Elephas maximus indicus: one gene and its partner. The protein of the gene in region 1 interacts with the protein of each later gene in a biochemical or structural test. Links are inferred from orthologs where the notes say so. Each region holds a gene or a part of one and is shown on either strand. Other genes may lie near its edges.

Region 1 (7,856 bases):
CCTCTGAGCCTCAAACTGCAGGCCAAAGGGCAAGGTACACAGACCTGTCTTGTCTTCATTTTGCCACAGGCCTTATCACTCTCTATTGTCTATCATCCTTCCCATATCTGGGCTGCTCGCTGGACCTCTGTATGTATCTGAGTTTGGATTCTCCAGATTAACTGGTCGAGGTGCCCTGGCCATAGTCTGGATGTGTGGTCAGCCAAAGTCAAGGTGTGCACACTGCCACTTTATACATCTTCTTATGCGCGCGTGCGCGCGCGCGCACACACACACACACACTCACACAGAAGTGGCCCCAAGGTAAACTCTTCTAAGCTTGCTTCCTGATCTGTGGGGAGATAGCTGAGTCTTACATTCCAGCTTGTCAAGTGATGGCTTTGCCCAACTGCATTTTTATAAAACAGGGACTTGGGAAAATCATAAAAAAAGGCTGAGTACTCCGGATTCCCCAAACAACCACCTTTCAAGAACGACTTCACTAGCATATTACGTGTGAAGGATGAACCTATACTTCAACAAAGCCCAAGTTCAAGGTCCCGAAAGTGAAAGTCCACCCTTCACATCGCATCCTAGAAGTGCTTCCCTTCCTTTCTCCTGGGAGTAGTCCCAAGGCTTTAGGAGATGGCTTTTTAAAAACCAATTACGAAATACAGACATTATATGCTAATTTGTGAACTATAGTTCACCTAAAGCCATCTTTTCTATTAGCCTCACACTGAAGGGTTTGGGAGACAGTGAAGGGCTGAGAAGATGGTTTCCCAGAAATCCTGAGGGGCTTTCTCCCTTCCCCAATATATCTCAAACATCAGATGCCCGCTTTATTTCAACTACCATCAATTCTTCTCTGACCACTAAGTTGCCTACTTCTTCACGACTCCGAGAAAATCATGGAAATATTTCATCTAAATTTTATATGAAACAACTATTGGGCTGGGTGAATTACTAAGCATATGAGGATAGTATTAAAGCAAAGTAGTTTATTACAGCTGACTGAAACTCAACAGTCCAGATACTGATGCAGACCTTTATTTGAATATGCGATTTTAAATTTGATTTGTGGCGGGGCGGCACACCAGATTCAATCACTCATTTTACTGACTTGAATCCCAAACCTTGATTCTCTGGGGGGTTATTTTTAATTTTAAAAAGTGAGCTCTCATCCTATAAACAGCACCAAGGAGAAATTCAAGGCAAAGAAATTACTTGTACATAAAAAACCCAGAAGTATTAATGACGTGATTTCCATTTCTAAGTTCAGCAAGTGAAGTTTACTGAGTAGCTCTGGGTTATAAGGAAACAATAAAACAGACAAGGATATCTGCGGAATTGCTCCTGAATGTTTTTAAGTGATACCAAACCCAACCTGCCACCACTGAGTCGATTCTGACTCATAGCGACCCTACAGGACAGAGTAGAACTGCCCCGCATTGTTTCCCAGGAGCACCTGGTGGATTTGAACTGCTCTTAACCACCACATCACCCCAGGGTTTCCTTTTAAGTGACAGAGGCAGATAAATACATGTTATAATATGACCACACAACGTGATACTATGCAGCCATTTAAAACAGAAGGAGGTACAGCTAAATTTCAGACATCAAAAAATGTGTGATCATATGAATTAAAAATAGCAAGTTGCAGAAGCCATTTTTGGAGGAAACCTATGTCTATGTGTGCATGTATATATAAGCCTTCCTGACACACACTGACATCTACGATTCTATATTTGGCTGCAAGAGCACATTTATAAATTGTTAGAAAAAGTCCATAAATACACACGCTAAACCTAACAACGGTGGGAAGAGGCGAGAGGTCTTGGTCTTTTCACTGTTTTTCTCGTCTTTGTGGTCTGCATTTTTTGCAAAAGCGCTGGTAACTTTTTTGACTAAAAAATAAAGTGATAGGCTTTAAAGAACTGTACCAACAGCTCCCGCGCGCCCTTCCTGTGAAATGCCCGACAGACCCGGGTTTTCACCCGGCTTAGAACACAGACCAGGAGAGGGAAAGGCGTGGCTGCCAGGTTTTCTTGGTTTTCCTGTAGCTGGAGGAAAACAGGCTGTGGGCGCCCTTTCTATAGCTACACTCCCCGGAGTTCCCACGTGTCAGGGGTGCGCGGACGGTGGGCGCGCGGTGCTGGAGCCTAGGAGCCATTCTGCCAAGCCGAGTGCTGGGAAAGGGCGCGTTTAGCTCGCCACTTCCTCGCTCCTCAACTCCCCACAGACACGCAGCTTCCCGGTCCAAGTTTTACTAGTGCGGCCCAGCCCTACAGAGCACACCCAAGTACACGTCTGCAAAGGGCGCAGGCACCAGGCGGGGAGAACAGCAACGGCTTCTAATGAGAAGAGAATTGCCAGTTCATCTGGGGTCAGTGTTTCGGCAAATGTCAGCCCAGAGCTACCCGCAAGGTGGACAGGAGGACTTGGGAGCGGGGGGATGGCCCGACAAAGCGGAAAGATTTTTGCTCTCACATAGGAGAGATGCCGCTTGCTTCTCAGGGCCTGCTAAGGAGCTGGAGGACACCGAAGTTCCGGAAGGTCGCCGAGTGGAGGTGCTCGAGCGGCACCTGGGCTTACCTTACAGGGAAAGAGAACAGCCGAGGCCACCTTCTCCATAGCCAGGTTCCTGATGCTGGGCGTCAGGGCGCCCCGGCACGTCGGGCAGCAGCTCAGCTTCTGGCGGCATTGGTTACACACCAGGTGCCCGGCCTGGCACTGCAGGATGGGAGGCAGAACATAGTCAAAGCAGACCGGGCACTCGAAGAGCGAGGTCAGCTCGTGGTGCTGCGGGGACACCGGGCCGGCCCCGCCACCGCCGCCGCCGCCGCCGCCGCCGCCGGGGCCGGAGATCACCGCCGCCGCGGCTGGCACCGCGGACGAGCCGGGGCCCGCAGCCGAGATGGTGGCGGCGGCCGGGGGCGCAGCCGGGGACGGAGCGTGCTGGGGCTGCGGCGGCTGCTGCTTGCTGCAGGGTTTGTTAGCGCTGGGGCCGGTGGAGGACGGGCGGCTCATTGCGTTCCGAGCCAACCATGGAACTGCGGGCGCCTGCCTGCCGCGGGGCCGCCGGGGTCAAGGCGGAGCGCGCCCCGCGGGCGGTGGGCTCCCGGGCAACGCCACGGCGCCCAGCCCGGGATCGGGTAGCGGAGACCGCCGGCGCCGGGCCGGCGGGGGATGGAGCGCACTGGCGCTCTCCAAGGGCCCCCGGCGTTCCAGAGACCCCTCAGCGCCCTCCGATCCCGCGCGGCGCCCTCCTCCCGGCGGCGTCCGGGGCCCCGAACCCGAGCGGTGCGCAGAGCCCCGGCCCACCAGCTTCTGGAGCGGCAGCTGACGCAAGCCCCGGGGGCGCGCGCGGACGTGACGCCTGGCTACGTGCGAGGCCGCCCAGGCGCGCAGGGACTGGCAGAGCCACCCTGCGCCGGGGCGTGGGCTCCGCCCGGCTCCAGCTGGCAGCGTAGGGGGCCGCCTAGCGCGGGCGCTTGGTGCTCGGGCCGCGGGTTTGGCCCGCGCCAGTGAGCATGCCCGGCTCGCCGCCGCCGCCTGCTGTCGCCTGCCGGGGCCGGCTTTTCCGGGCTGGGGAGGGGAGCCCTCCGCGAAGGCGTCTCCAAGGCCCTCTAGCCACACCCCGGGGAGCCACGCCGACGCGTCCCCAGCCACGAACCAGAAGGGCAACTTCAGGCCGGGCCGGGGCGTGGACGGCGAGCGGGGCGGGACGCTGGCGTCGGCCACCCTGCGCAGGTCGGAAAAAACCGAGAGCTTTCTCTCGCCTGAGTTGAGTCACCAGTGCGCGGGGGAGGGCGTGCGGCGGGGCCAGCCAGAGAGCTCTGGGTCTGGAACGCGGGGTCAAGAGGAAGAACTCTGGGCGGGAGCAGGACAATGGGTGGATCTGCAGCGGGCGCAGGACCTGGCACTATCAAGGGTACAGGTCTTCTCCTTAGTCCTGCCGCCCAGGGTGGGGAGGAGGCGGACTCCCTTTAATACTTTACCCCCGGACCTGGCAAAAGCGTCCTTGAATTGAGCGCCTTTGACGTGCACAGTAGGCCAGGGAAGAATTAATGGACAGCTTTAAAAAAAATTTTTTTTTTTTTTTTGGCTAAAAGGAGAGTTCGAGAGCACTCACGCATGCCATAAACATGGTCGTAAGACCCCAGGAAGGCAGTGCAGGACTCTCCAGTGTAACGCGCTGCGTCCTCATCTTTGGGATTCGCCGAAGTCCAAGGCTTTGATGCCTCGCACTCTCAGCGGAAGCCCTAGAACCAAAACAAAACCGAGCCCATTGCCATCGAGTCGATTCGGACTGGTAGTGACCCTATGGGGGGAGGATAGTCGGGAGTCAGCCGCATGTTTAATTTAATGTATACTGTGCTCTGAGTTGGAGCCCTAGTGGCGAAGTGGTTAAGTGCTACAGCAGCTAACCAAGGGTCGGCAGTTTGAATCCACCAGGCGCGCCTTGGAAACTCTATGAGGCAGTTAGTTCTACACTGACCTATAGGGTCGCTATGAGTCGGAATCGACTCGACGGCCCTGGGTTTGGTATGGTTTTTTTGATTCTCTGAGTTGGAGCTCTAGTGGCGAAGTGGTTAAGAGCTCGACTGCTAACCAAGAGGATGGCAGTTCGAACCCACCAGCCGCTCTTTGGAAATCCTATGGGGGCAGTTGTAGCTATGAGTAGAAATCGACTCGATAGTAGCAGGTTTTGGTACTCTGAGTTAAAATGCCTTTGTTTTTTTCCGTACTTTGGTTGAGCTCCTGACTACCGGACTTGGGGGAAAGCACTACCTACAGGGGACTTGGATGATTCTTTTTGGGAGAGAAAGAGATAAGAAGCAGCTAACTGGACGTGATGAAAGATAGTGCCCTCCACCCACCACCTGCATGACTTCTGGCAAGTTCTCTTAACTTCGCTGTGACCCAGTTTCCTCATCTGTAAAACTGGAATAACGACAACAGTTTATAGGTGGAGTAATGAGTTGATACATGTCAAGCACTTAGAATAAAACCTGGCCCATCAGCATTGTTTCAACATTAGCTGTTATTTTTAAAAAGCTAATTATAAGTGAACGTTTGATATTAATATTAGTATCAGTGAATAAAATCAGTCAAGAAATGTGCTCTTGGAGCCCAGAGGAAAGCAGTTTAATCTTATAGAGGGCATCTAGAAAGACCACCTGCATGGAATTGGTGGAATTTGATCTAAATCTTGGAGGAAAAAAAAAATGTATAGATGGAGGTGTCATTCAATCATTCAGTCAGTGTTTCCTAAACATTTATTATGTGCCAGGTACTGTTTGGAATCTGAGAATGTTTTTCATCCAGTTTACATTCATTCCAGAAAGGGAGCAAAGGACAATAAAGAAACAGGATTTCAGAAGCATTGAGGTGGGTGATAGGAAGACACTTACCAAAACCAAACTGGTTGCTGTGGAGTGGATTCCGAGTCATAATGACCCTATAGGACAGAGTAGAACTGCCCCATAGGATTTCCAAGGAGCAGCTGGTGGAGCATGAGCCAAAAGTACAGGGTGAGAGAACTCAATGGTGGAGTACATTGGGGCTTGTAATGGGAGTGTCAGTGGTGTAGGCTGGTGCGATTGGCTTGATAAGATATTTACCTCAGTGACCAGGGGAACAGTATAAGTTTAATTTTCTTTTTTTAATTGTGTTTTAGGTCAAAGTTCACAGAACAAATTAGTTTCTCATTAAACAATTATACACATATTGTTTCATGACATTGGTTACCAACCCTGCAACCTGTCAACACTCTCCTCTTCTTGAACTTGGGTTCCTCATTTCCATTCATCCAGCTTTCCTGTCCCCTCCTGCCTTCTCCTCCTTGCCCTGGGCTGGTGTGCCCATTTAGTCTTGCATACATGGATGAGCTACATGTATTATTGTTTGTTTTATGGGCCTGTCTAATCTTTGACTGAAGGGTAAGTGACCTCAGTACTGAGTTAAAAGAGTGTCCAGGGGCCATACTCCCCGAATTTTTTCCAGTTTCTGTCAGACCAGTAAGTCTGGTCTTTGTGTGTGTGTGTGTGTAAGCTTGAATTTTGTTCTACACTTTTCTCTAGCTCTTTTGAGGACCCTCTATTGTGATCCCTGTCAGAGTATTTGATGGTGGTAGCCAGGCACCATCTTGTTATGCTGGACTCTGATGGGAGCTGTGGTAGTTGTGGTCCATTAGTACTTTGGACTAATCTTTCCCTTTGTCTTTGGTTTTCTTCATTTTCCCTTGCTCAAGATGGACGGGACCAGTAGACATATCTCAGATGACAACTCACCAGCTTTTAAGACCCCAGGCACTACTCACCAAAGGAGGATGTAGAATATTTTCTTTATAAAATGTGTTATGCCAGTTGAGCTAGATGTCCCCCAAGACTATGGACCCCATAGCCCTCAGCCCACTAATTTGGTTCCTTGGGGGGTTTGAATGTCTTTATGAATCTTCCATGACTTTGCCTTGGTCAGGTTGTACTGACTTCCCCAGTATTGTATACTGTCTTACCCTTCACCAAAGTTACCACTTATCTATTGTCTAGTTAGTATTTTTCCCTCCCCACACCTTCCCTCCCTCATAACCATTAAAAGTTGTTTCTTTTTGTGTGTAAACCTTTTCATGAGTTTTTATAATAGTGGTCTCATACAGTATTTGCCCTTTTCTGATTGACATATTTCGCTCAGCATAATGCCCTCCAGATTCATCCATGTTCGTGGATTCATCATTGTTCTTTATGGTTGCGTAGTACATCATCGTGTATATGTACCATAGTTTGTTTATCTGTTTGTCTGTTGATGAGCATTTAGGTTGTTTCCATCTTTTTGCTGTTGTGAATAATGCTGCAGTGAACATGGGTGTGCATATCTCTGTTCGTGTGACGACTCTTATTTCTCAAGGATATATTCCTAGGAGGGATTGCTAGGTCATATGGTATTTGTATTTCTAGCTTTTTAAGGGAGTGCGTAAGAGTTCCAATCTTCCCAAAATCTCTCCAACATTTGTTATTTTCTCTTTTTTTTGATTTGTGCCAGTAATGTCAGGGTGCGATGGTATCTCATTATTGTTTTGATTTGCATTTCTCTAAAGGCTAGTGATCTCAAGCACTTTCTCATCTGTCTTTTAGCTGCCTGAATGTCTTCTTCGGTGAAGTGTCTGTTCATATTCTTTGCCCATTTTTCAAATGGATCATTTGTCTTTTTGTTGTAGAAGTGTTGGATTTTCCTATAGATTTTAGAGATTAGACTTTTGTTGGATGTCATAGCCAAAAATTTTTTCCCAGTCTGTAGGTTCTCTCTTTATTCTTTTGACCATTGTAGGTTTTTGAAAAGCAGTGTAACATGACTAAACCTGAGGTTTTGGAAAGGTGCTGTGGACAATATAAACTAATAATAAAACCCCAAAACCTAACCCATTGCCATAGACTCAATTCCAACTCATAGCAACTATATAGGACAGAGTAGAACTGCCCCATAGGGTTTCCATAGCTGGAATCTTATGGAAGCAGATTGCTGCATCATTCTCCCATGGAGTGGCTCATGGGTTTGTACCGCCAGCCTTTTGTTTAACAGCAGCCAAGGGCTTAACCACTGTACCACCAGTGCTCCAAACTAATAATAACTAATATTTATTGATTGTTCACTGTATGCAGGGCATCATCTTCTAAGTGCTTTGCATGAAATAATTCATTTAAACGTCAGCAATAATCCTTCTCAGTGGGCACTATTATTATCATTTCCAGCTTGTTAGGTGCCATACAGTCAGTTCCAACTCACAGCAACCCCGTGTACAACAGAACCAAACACTGCCTGGTCCTGCACCATCCTCACCATCATTACTATGTTTGAGCCCACTGTTGGAGCCATTG
Region 2 (7,264 bases), on another chromosome or scaffold:
AATACTTGTACACAGGTATTCATGGTAGCACTGCTCACAATAGCCAAAAGATGGAAACAACCCAAGCGTCCATCAATGGATGAATGGTTAAATAAATTAAGGTATATATAGACACAATGGAATACTATTCAGCCATAAAAAGGAATGAGGTACTGATACATGCTATAGCATGGATGAACCTTAAAAACATTATGCTAAGTGAAAGAAGCCAGACATAAAAGGTCACATATTATATACTCCCATTTATATGAAATATCCAGAATAGGTAAATTCACAGAGACAGAAAGCAGATTGGTGGTTGCCAGGGGCTGGGGATAATATGGAGTAACTGCTTAATGGGTACAGGGTTTTATTCTTGGGTGATAAAAATGTTTTGGAACTAGATTTAAAACCAAAAATCTGTTGCTGTAGAGTTGACTCTGCCCGACGTGTTACAGAGTAGAACAGAGTTCCACAGGGTTTTTTGGGTGTCATCTTTATGGAAGCCAATCACCAGGCCTTTCTTCTGTGGTGCTGCTGGATGGGTTTGAACCCCCAACGTTTTGCAAACTGTTTGTGCTACCCAGGGACCTGTCGGAACTAGATCTACACCCAAAACCAAATCTGTTGCCGTCAAGTCTATTCTGACTCATAGTGACCTTATAGGACAGAGTAGAACTGCCCCATAGGGTTTCTAAGGAGCGGCTGGTGGATTTGAACTGCCGACCTTTTGGTTAGCAGCCAAGCTCTTAACCACTACACCACCAGGGTTCCTTGGAAGTAGCTAGAGGTAGTGATTACACAACATGGTGAATGTACTAAACGCCATTAAACTGTTCGCTTTAAAATGGTTAATTTTACATTATGTGAATTTACTTCATTAAAAAATAAATCTAAAAAGAAAGGGGGAAAAAAGACAATGATTGGGATCTCTTTGTTACAGTGGAAAAGACAGAAGCATTCCAGGCTTCCTCTTCTACTCACCAGAGACTCCTTAGGAAAGTCACTTAATGTCCAACCCCTTTGGGCCTTGGCTTACTCATCTGTAGGAAAATGAAGCTGGGTTAGGTGACCACTCAGATCCTTTTCCAGTTCAAATTCAAGGCAAACAAATACAACATCCTTTCTTCCAAACTTCTCATTCACATGCTTGAAAATGGTTGCATCCGTACTGCAAATGCACACGGAAAGACAATGCTGTCTTAATTAAATTACAGGGAAATTAATTTGGCTTAGTTATTAATATGAAAAGTATTTTAATATGCATTATGATGGCACAAATTAATGGACAAATCACCAAAAAAACCCACATTTTAACAGTCAGCTTGAGATTTGCTACTCTGATGCTCAGACTCAGAGCTTGTGCTCGGCTCCAGCCTGTCTGCCCGCCTGGTGTAATCGCACACTGATTTTTCCCAGTCACGGTATCTCTGGCTCCTGTGCCAAAAGCGGGGCTGGCAGCCCCAAGCTGACTGGAAGGTCCTTGATTAATTAATAGGTACCTTTGCCAAGCAGGAATGGTGCCAACAGATTGAATTCCTTTCTAAACTGCCCACACCTTGGAACCAGAGTAATCTAGAAAACTTTAAGGCCAGCAGTCAGTAGAACTTGCTTAGACTATTGCTCCAGGGAAGGGCCCTTTGGGATTTTTTTCTCTTTCTCTGTTACAGCTTTACTCTAAAATTATTTAAACATTGTTGGAATAATAAGTCAAACTGACCCAGTCCTGGTTTAAAGTGAGCTCAACATATTCATTAAGGGCAGTGGGTATAGACTTCTTTGTATTTTATTGGCCACCATGTCTTTCAGGTTTCTTGTCCTGGGTAAATTCTCCCCTAATTATTCCTAGGAGTATCAGGAATACCTACAAAGCACCTTCAGCTAGAAAATTTTGGCCAGCTACCAAGGGTTATCTGCCATTTTCCCCTTTTTAATTCTAGCCCTATTCAGGATACCTACTTCTAAGGTTTACGATAGCCCCCAAAGATGCAAAAAGCACAAGCTGCTGCCCGCTAGGGCCTACACCTCCAGACTGCGCTTCTCCTAACCACCCTACTAGCCATAATGACCTCTCTAGATCACTAGAGGGGTCTAAGCCGTTTTGGGGTACGTGGGGTTCAAGTAGAAGTAGAGATAAGGGCCCTCCTCCCTTGTGCTACTGCATCCCATTTCATTCCTTGCCACAATTAAACAGTTCAGCCAGCTTTTACTTTAGGCCTTCCACTCCCAGGACTCAGGTATCTTCCATGGCTGAGAGACAAATTCCCTGCAGAACACTTCACTGCTCCTCTCCACAGGCACTGAGGTTTTGTTCTGGGCCAGGCTGATCTGGCTGGCACTCTTTTCCAGTCAATTCTCTTCAGGGAGACTCCTCAGGCCCTCATGCAAATAGACTCTTCCTGCAGACCCCCAGACAAGCCCAGACATGCCTGAATGCCACGCGGCAATGGCCGTGGCTCAGGCACAGAAACCAGGTTCCCAGTAACTGGCACACTACCATGTGCCAGACTCTGGGGGGTCATCATGGAGCTCCCTGGGAATTTACGTGACATTTCCTGGTGTGCTCACCAATTCAGACCTTTACCCCCAGGAGGTGTGCCTCCTGCTGAAAGGTCACACCAACACTGCAAACTAATCGCCAACCTGGCAGAGAACCTCCTCTCAAAGTAATGAGAAGTTTCACTAGTTTCTTAAACACTCCACCATTGGCTGTTCCATCCCCCAACAGCGCTCAGGTTCTTACTCAGCCACCCACCTCTGTCTGCCTTTTCCGTCACGTAGTAGCAGCATCCTTTTCCTATTCTGTTTGTTCTTGGCCTGGACTTCATTTCTCCCTCCATATTTCACCCTTCAAAAGCAGAGAGGAGGAGCTATTGGAAGGATAAAAGTAAAAAAGCTGTAAGGCATTGCACACAAAATAATGACACTTGGAAAACCTGTGCATTGTTTTGTTCAACTTACATGAAGAACTTGAGTGCAAACTAGTGTAAAATGATAAAATATGGAAATAGCTTTGCCTGTCATTTATGAGGAAACCCTGGTGATTAAGAGCTAAGGCTGCTCACCAAACGGTCAGCAGTTTGAATTCATCAGGCGTTCCTTGGGAACCCTGTGGGGCTGTTCTACTCTGTCCTATAGGTTTGCTATGAGTTGGAATCGACTCAACAGCACGTTGGAATTGACTCGACAGCAATGGGTTTGGGTTTTTCTGATTGTTTTTTATGAATATTTTCCCTGATTCTGATTCCTGGTGTCTGGTAGGTAAGGGGATCAGTAATCCATAAAGCAGTCAGCTTACCTTTAGATAATAAAAAGCCTTCTGTGTGGTGTCCATCCCTCTGGTATAATGAGCTGCTTGCTGAGAAAAGTGAGAGAAAGGACCCAAAATACAGTTTACTTTTTTGAGGATATACCTATACTGACTGTTAACACATGATTAATTTTGAAGGTAGAATTTGAGAACATCATATTTTAGTTAGAAGCTTGAAAGTTAAGTGGATGAAAACATTCAACAAAGCAAAATATTTGCAGGGTTCAATCAGATATGACCCAGCAAGTATTTCTAAGTTGTGCACATTCTTCCTCGTTCAGAATATAGAGCCTTGGTTGCTGTCAGACTCATAGTGACCCTATAGGACAGAGTAGAACTGCTCAATAGGGTTTCCAAGGAGCGGCTGGTGGATTTGAACTACCAACGTTTTGTTTAGCAGCCATTGCTTTTAACCACTGCTCCACCAGGGCCCCTTGCACATAGTAGGGGTTAGAAAAATATTAATTGTTCATTTTAGTTAGAACTGGATTCCTCCCAATCTGTCGGTGACTTGAACTTCCTGACTTGGGTCAAACAGCTGAGGAAAGGGGATTAACGAAAGGCATCAGATAAAGATAAGAAAGAGACCTCTGTTTAATATGTATATTTGTTCCTGGTTTTATTATTTTATTTAAAAGCCTGTGAGGTGACCAGCCCAGAGTGTGGCAGTAAACTGCTTTTGATTACATTTACATTTTCCAAATTGGGATCCAGGTTTTTAAGTTTGTTTTGGGGTTTTAAGCAAAACAATATGCAAATATAGCATTCTAAAAATTCAGTCTGTTCTCCAGGTTCCCTCACAACCAACCACGGCTGACGCCTGGCTCGCCTGGATCCTTGGCCTTGGGGGCGGAGAATGGGCGGGGGTGACTGGCCGGGGGCGGGGGTGGGGGATGGGGAGAAGGGCTGTCCCGGAGGCGGGGCCGGGGCGGGGCTCGTGACGTGCCGTGTCGGGCCGGCTCAGGAGCTGGACTCACTCTTTCTCGGTCTCGGACCGCCGCCGCGGTGGTGGCTCCGCATCTCCAAAAAGGGCCCTCCGACTCCTTGCTGGGTCAGTCCGGCGCTGGATCGCGGGGCCCTGCACAACTCTTCACTGGTCGCTGAGCTAGACACCCCCCGCCCCGTCCCCAGAGTTGCAAGCAACTTTCCCCTCTCCCAGGCGCTGCGGTGGCTCGGGGACTGTGGTCGCGGCAGGTAGCTGAATCCCCGGCCACGCTCCCGGCGCCTCGCCTTCGCGCGCTTAGGTCGCTCTCTCCCGTGGTGCACGCTGGGGGTCCCCGACCTCGACTCTGTGGGCGAGATGCCCCTGGGACACATCATGAGGCTGGATTTGGAGAAAATCGCCCTGGAGTACATCGTGCCCTGCCTGCACGAGGTCGGCTTCTGCTACCTGGACAACTTCCTAGGCGAGGTGGTGGGTGACTGCGTCCTGGAGCGCGTCAAGCAGCTGCACTGCAACGGGGCCCTGCGGGACGGCCAGCTGGCGGGGCCGCGCGCGGGCGTCTCCAAGCGGCACCTGCGGGGCGACCAGATCACGTGGATCGGGGGCAACGAGGAGGGCTGCGAGGCCATCAGCTACCTCCTGTCCCTCATCGACAGGCTGGTCCTGTACTGCGGAAGCCGGCTGGGCAAATACTACGTCAAGGAGAGGTCCAAGGTAGGACGGGGGCTTTCGGGAGTCAATTGTACGCTGCTTTCTCAGGGCTGCGAGCGAACTTTAATTTTAAAACCAAGAAGTCAGTCTGGTTTGTCCCCCAGCTCCTCTGAGCGATAGTTCATGTTAAGGGCTCAGGTGTGTAATTATAATTACCTTCTGTTGACTTTAGAATAATGGCTCTGGTGGGGTGGTACAAGCTAGCTGTGTCTTCCGGCCCCATTTTAAGAGATGGAGTTTCTCAGAGACTTAAACAAGGGAAAGGGTATTATAAGAAACATTGTTCCAAGGCACGTGGGTACTCACTCTAAATGCCTGCTTAAAGTCACCTGATATTCCCCGTCATTGTGTTCAGAAGGTACCCCCGCAAATGCACTCTTAAAGAACCTGGTGGCAGCTGTAATGTAATCTTGCAGTGAGGGAATTGGTCTGTGGAGTTTGTCCTGCAGGTGTGGGAAGAGTTTGGCATGTAAAACGTGCAGGATCCACTTCTGGTCACCTCGGAGTGTTGCCTTGGCTGGTTGGCACCAGAACACTATAAGACCATCTACTTGACTTTGGAAACCCTCTCCTGGTGCTCAGCCCTGCCCCACCATCTCCCCTTTCCCAGCTATAAATTGAGGTGAAATCCATGAGAGAGTATTCAGGTACCACTAGAAAGAAAATGGTGTTTCTCAGGTTTTTGTTCAGGTAGCTGTAAGTGACTTCCTGGGTGGTAATTTATTTTGGAGACAAATAGAGGTAGATTGAAAGAAATACGGGAACATGTAGGTACCATGATGTTGTCGCATGAACATTATTTGGGGATAGCCTAGCTACTCAGTCTTTCTTCAGATGATAGCCCAACCCATTTTTCTAGGGGGCAATTCTGAATGATTTATGTGTTTTTTATTGTGGACTAGTCAAGGGAACTCAGAAGGACAGAATACTTTTACTGAAACACAATGAGGCAAAGCATACTAGCCATGGGAGGGAATTAAACATTCAGCTATGTACCACTCTTTAAAAATATATGTAGTATGTCTCAATTCAAGAAGAGTCCTGTGTTAAAAAAAAAAAAACATTGCTGGCTCATTTGTCCCGTAAGCTCTGAGGAATGCTCTTCGTAAAGAACAAGTGTAAAGACTGGAAATGTATAGAAGTGAAGGGGCCAAGGCAAGTGAATGGAATAGTGGAGAAATAGATTGTTGGTCACCTTGCAAACCAGGAAGACTTAGAATTCCTGAAAGCATTGATAATAATTGAATGCAAACACAGTGGATCTTTGAAGAAATTGCTGCTTTCTGAATTTTATTTTGGCTTGGGGTAAATTTGGAGTTGGCTGAACTCTGTAGAAGATTGTTGTTAAAGTGTTTCTTTACTCTTCTTCCCTCATATTGGTGGTAGATCAGAAGTTATTTGTCTTCTGCATAGTTTTGCTGTTGTACTAAAGAACCTTACCTGTCTCCTGGGGTGGGTTAGCATCAGCCTGGCAGAGGTGTTTATAGCTTCAGTCTGCAAGATGGCTTCTTACCAGTTTTTTAAATTTCTCTTAATCTCAGGTATTAAGAATTTTCCTCCCAGCCTTCTAGGAACAGAAGTTAAAATTAATTGGTAGAGAGAAGTCACTAATATTATTAAAGTTAAAAATTGTTATTTAGCTTTGACTTCATGGATTAGGGGTAGAGTTTCAGGCTAGACTTTAACTCGACAAATTGAATGAAAAGTACTGTGTACATCTGGGTAAGGGAAAAAAAAACAAATTTACAGACATGATTCTTCAACAATGGGCTATCTTCTGAGTGGAAAAAGTAACTTCGCAGCTAACCCTTTCTGAAGGTGACTGTGAATTGAAGTCAGAAAACTCGTCTTGTCCACTGAAGAGATGCGTTTGAGCAACATCTGCCCATACCCCAGATTTCCAGCTTTCCTTTGGCAGTTTTGGCACAATGTTTGTCATTCCTGCTCTTCAGACAAATCACCTCTAGGTTGGGATATTCCCTATCTGACTAGAACCAAATGTTGGAGAAGGCTGGAGCAAACAATTATTACAGTAAAAAAAAAAAAAAAAATCAATTAGTTTATATAAAGAAATCTTCTCAGTGATGTCTTGGGGCCTTGGGTCTCTTGTATGAAGCTCATTATTAACGCATCATAGAAACCCATTCCAGTTCTACATGATTTTTATTAATTTCAACTTCACTTAACCTTTCTTCATTAATTGTTTCTCTTCCCTCAACCAAGGCTGTTTCCCAAAGTAGTGATATGGACCCAGTTTCCTGCTGCACCCTTCAAATAGGTTTCAGTAAAAAGTAAATTTTTGAATGACAGCCTTTGTAAAT

The links.
Region 2: the proteins of SIAH2 (region 1) and EGLN3 form a complex in vitro, tested with the Homo sapiens proteins (2 studies listed by BioGRID). The link is inferred for Elephas maximus indicus from reciprocal best matches to the Homo sapiens genes SIAH2 and EGLN3.

Annotation. Positions count from the first base shown.
Region 1 is NC_064841.1:9,164,415-9,172,270, reverse strand, and holds the start of SIAH2 (E3 ubiquitin-protein ligase SIAH2), read right to left. Parts: upstream 3,017-7,856; 5' UTR 3,010-3,016; coding exon 2,575-3,009; intron 1-2,574. UniProt on the Homo sapiens protein: E3 ubiquitin-protein ligase that mediates ubiquitination and subsequent proteasomal degradation of target proteins.
Region 2 is NC_064828.1:46,367,521-46,374,784, reverse strand, and holds the start of EGLN3 (prolyl hydroxylase EGLN3), read left to right. Parts: upstream 1-4,256; 5' UTR 4,257-4,589; coding exon 4,590-4,946; intron 4,947-7,264. UniProt on the Homo sapiens protein: Prolyl hydroxylase that mediates hydroxylation of proline residues in target proteins, such as PKM, TELO2, ATF4 and HIF1A. Target proteins are preferentially recognized via a LXXLAP motif.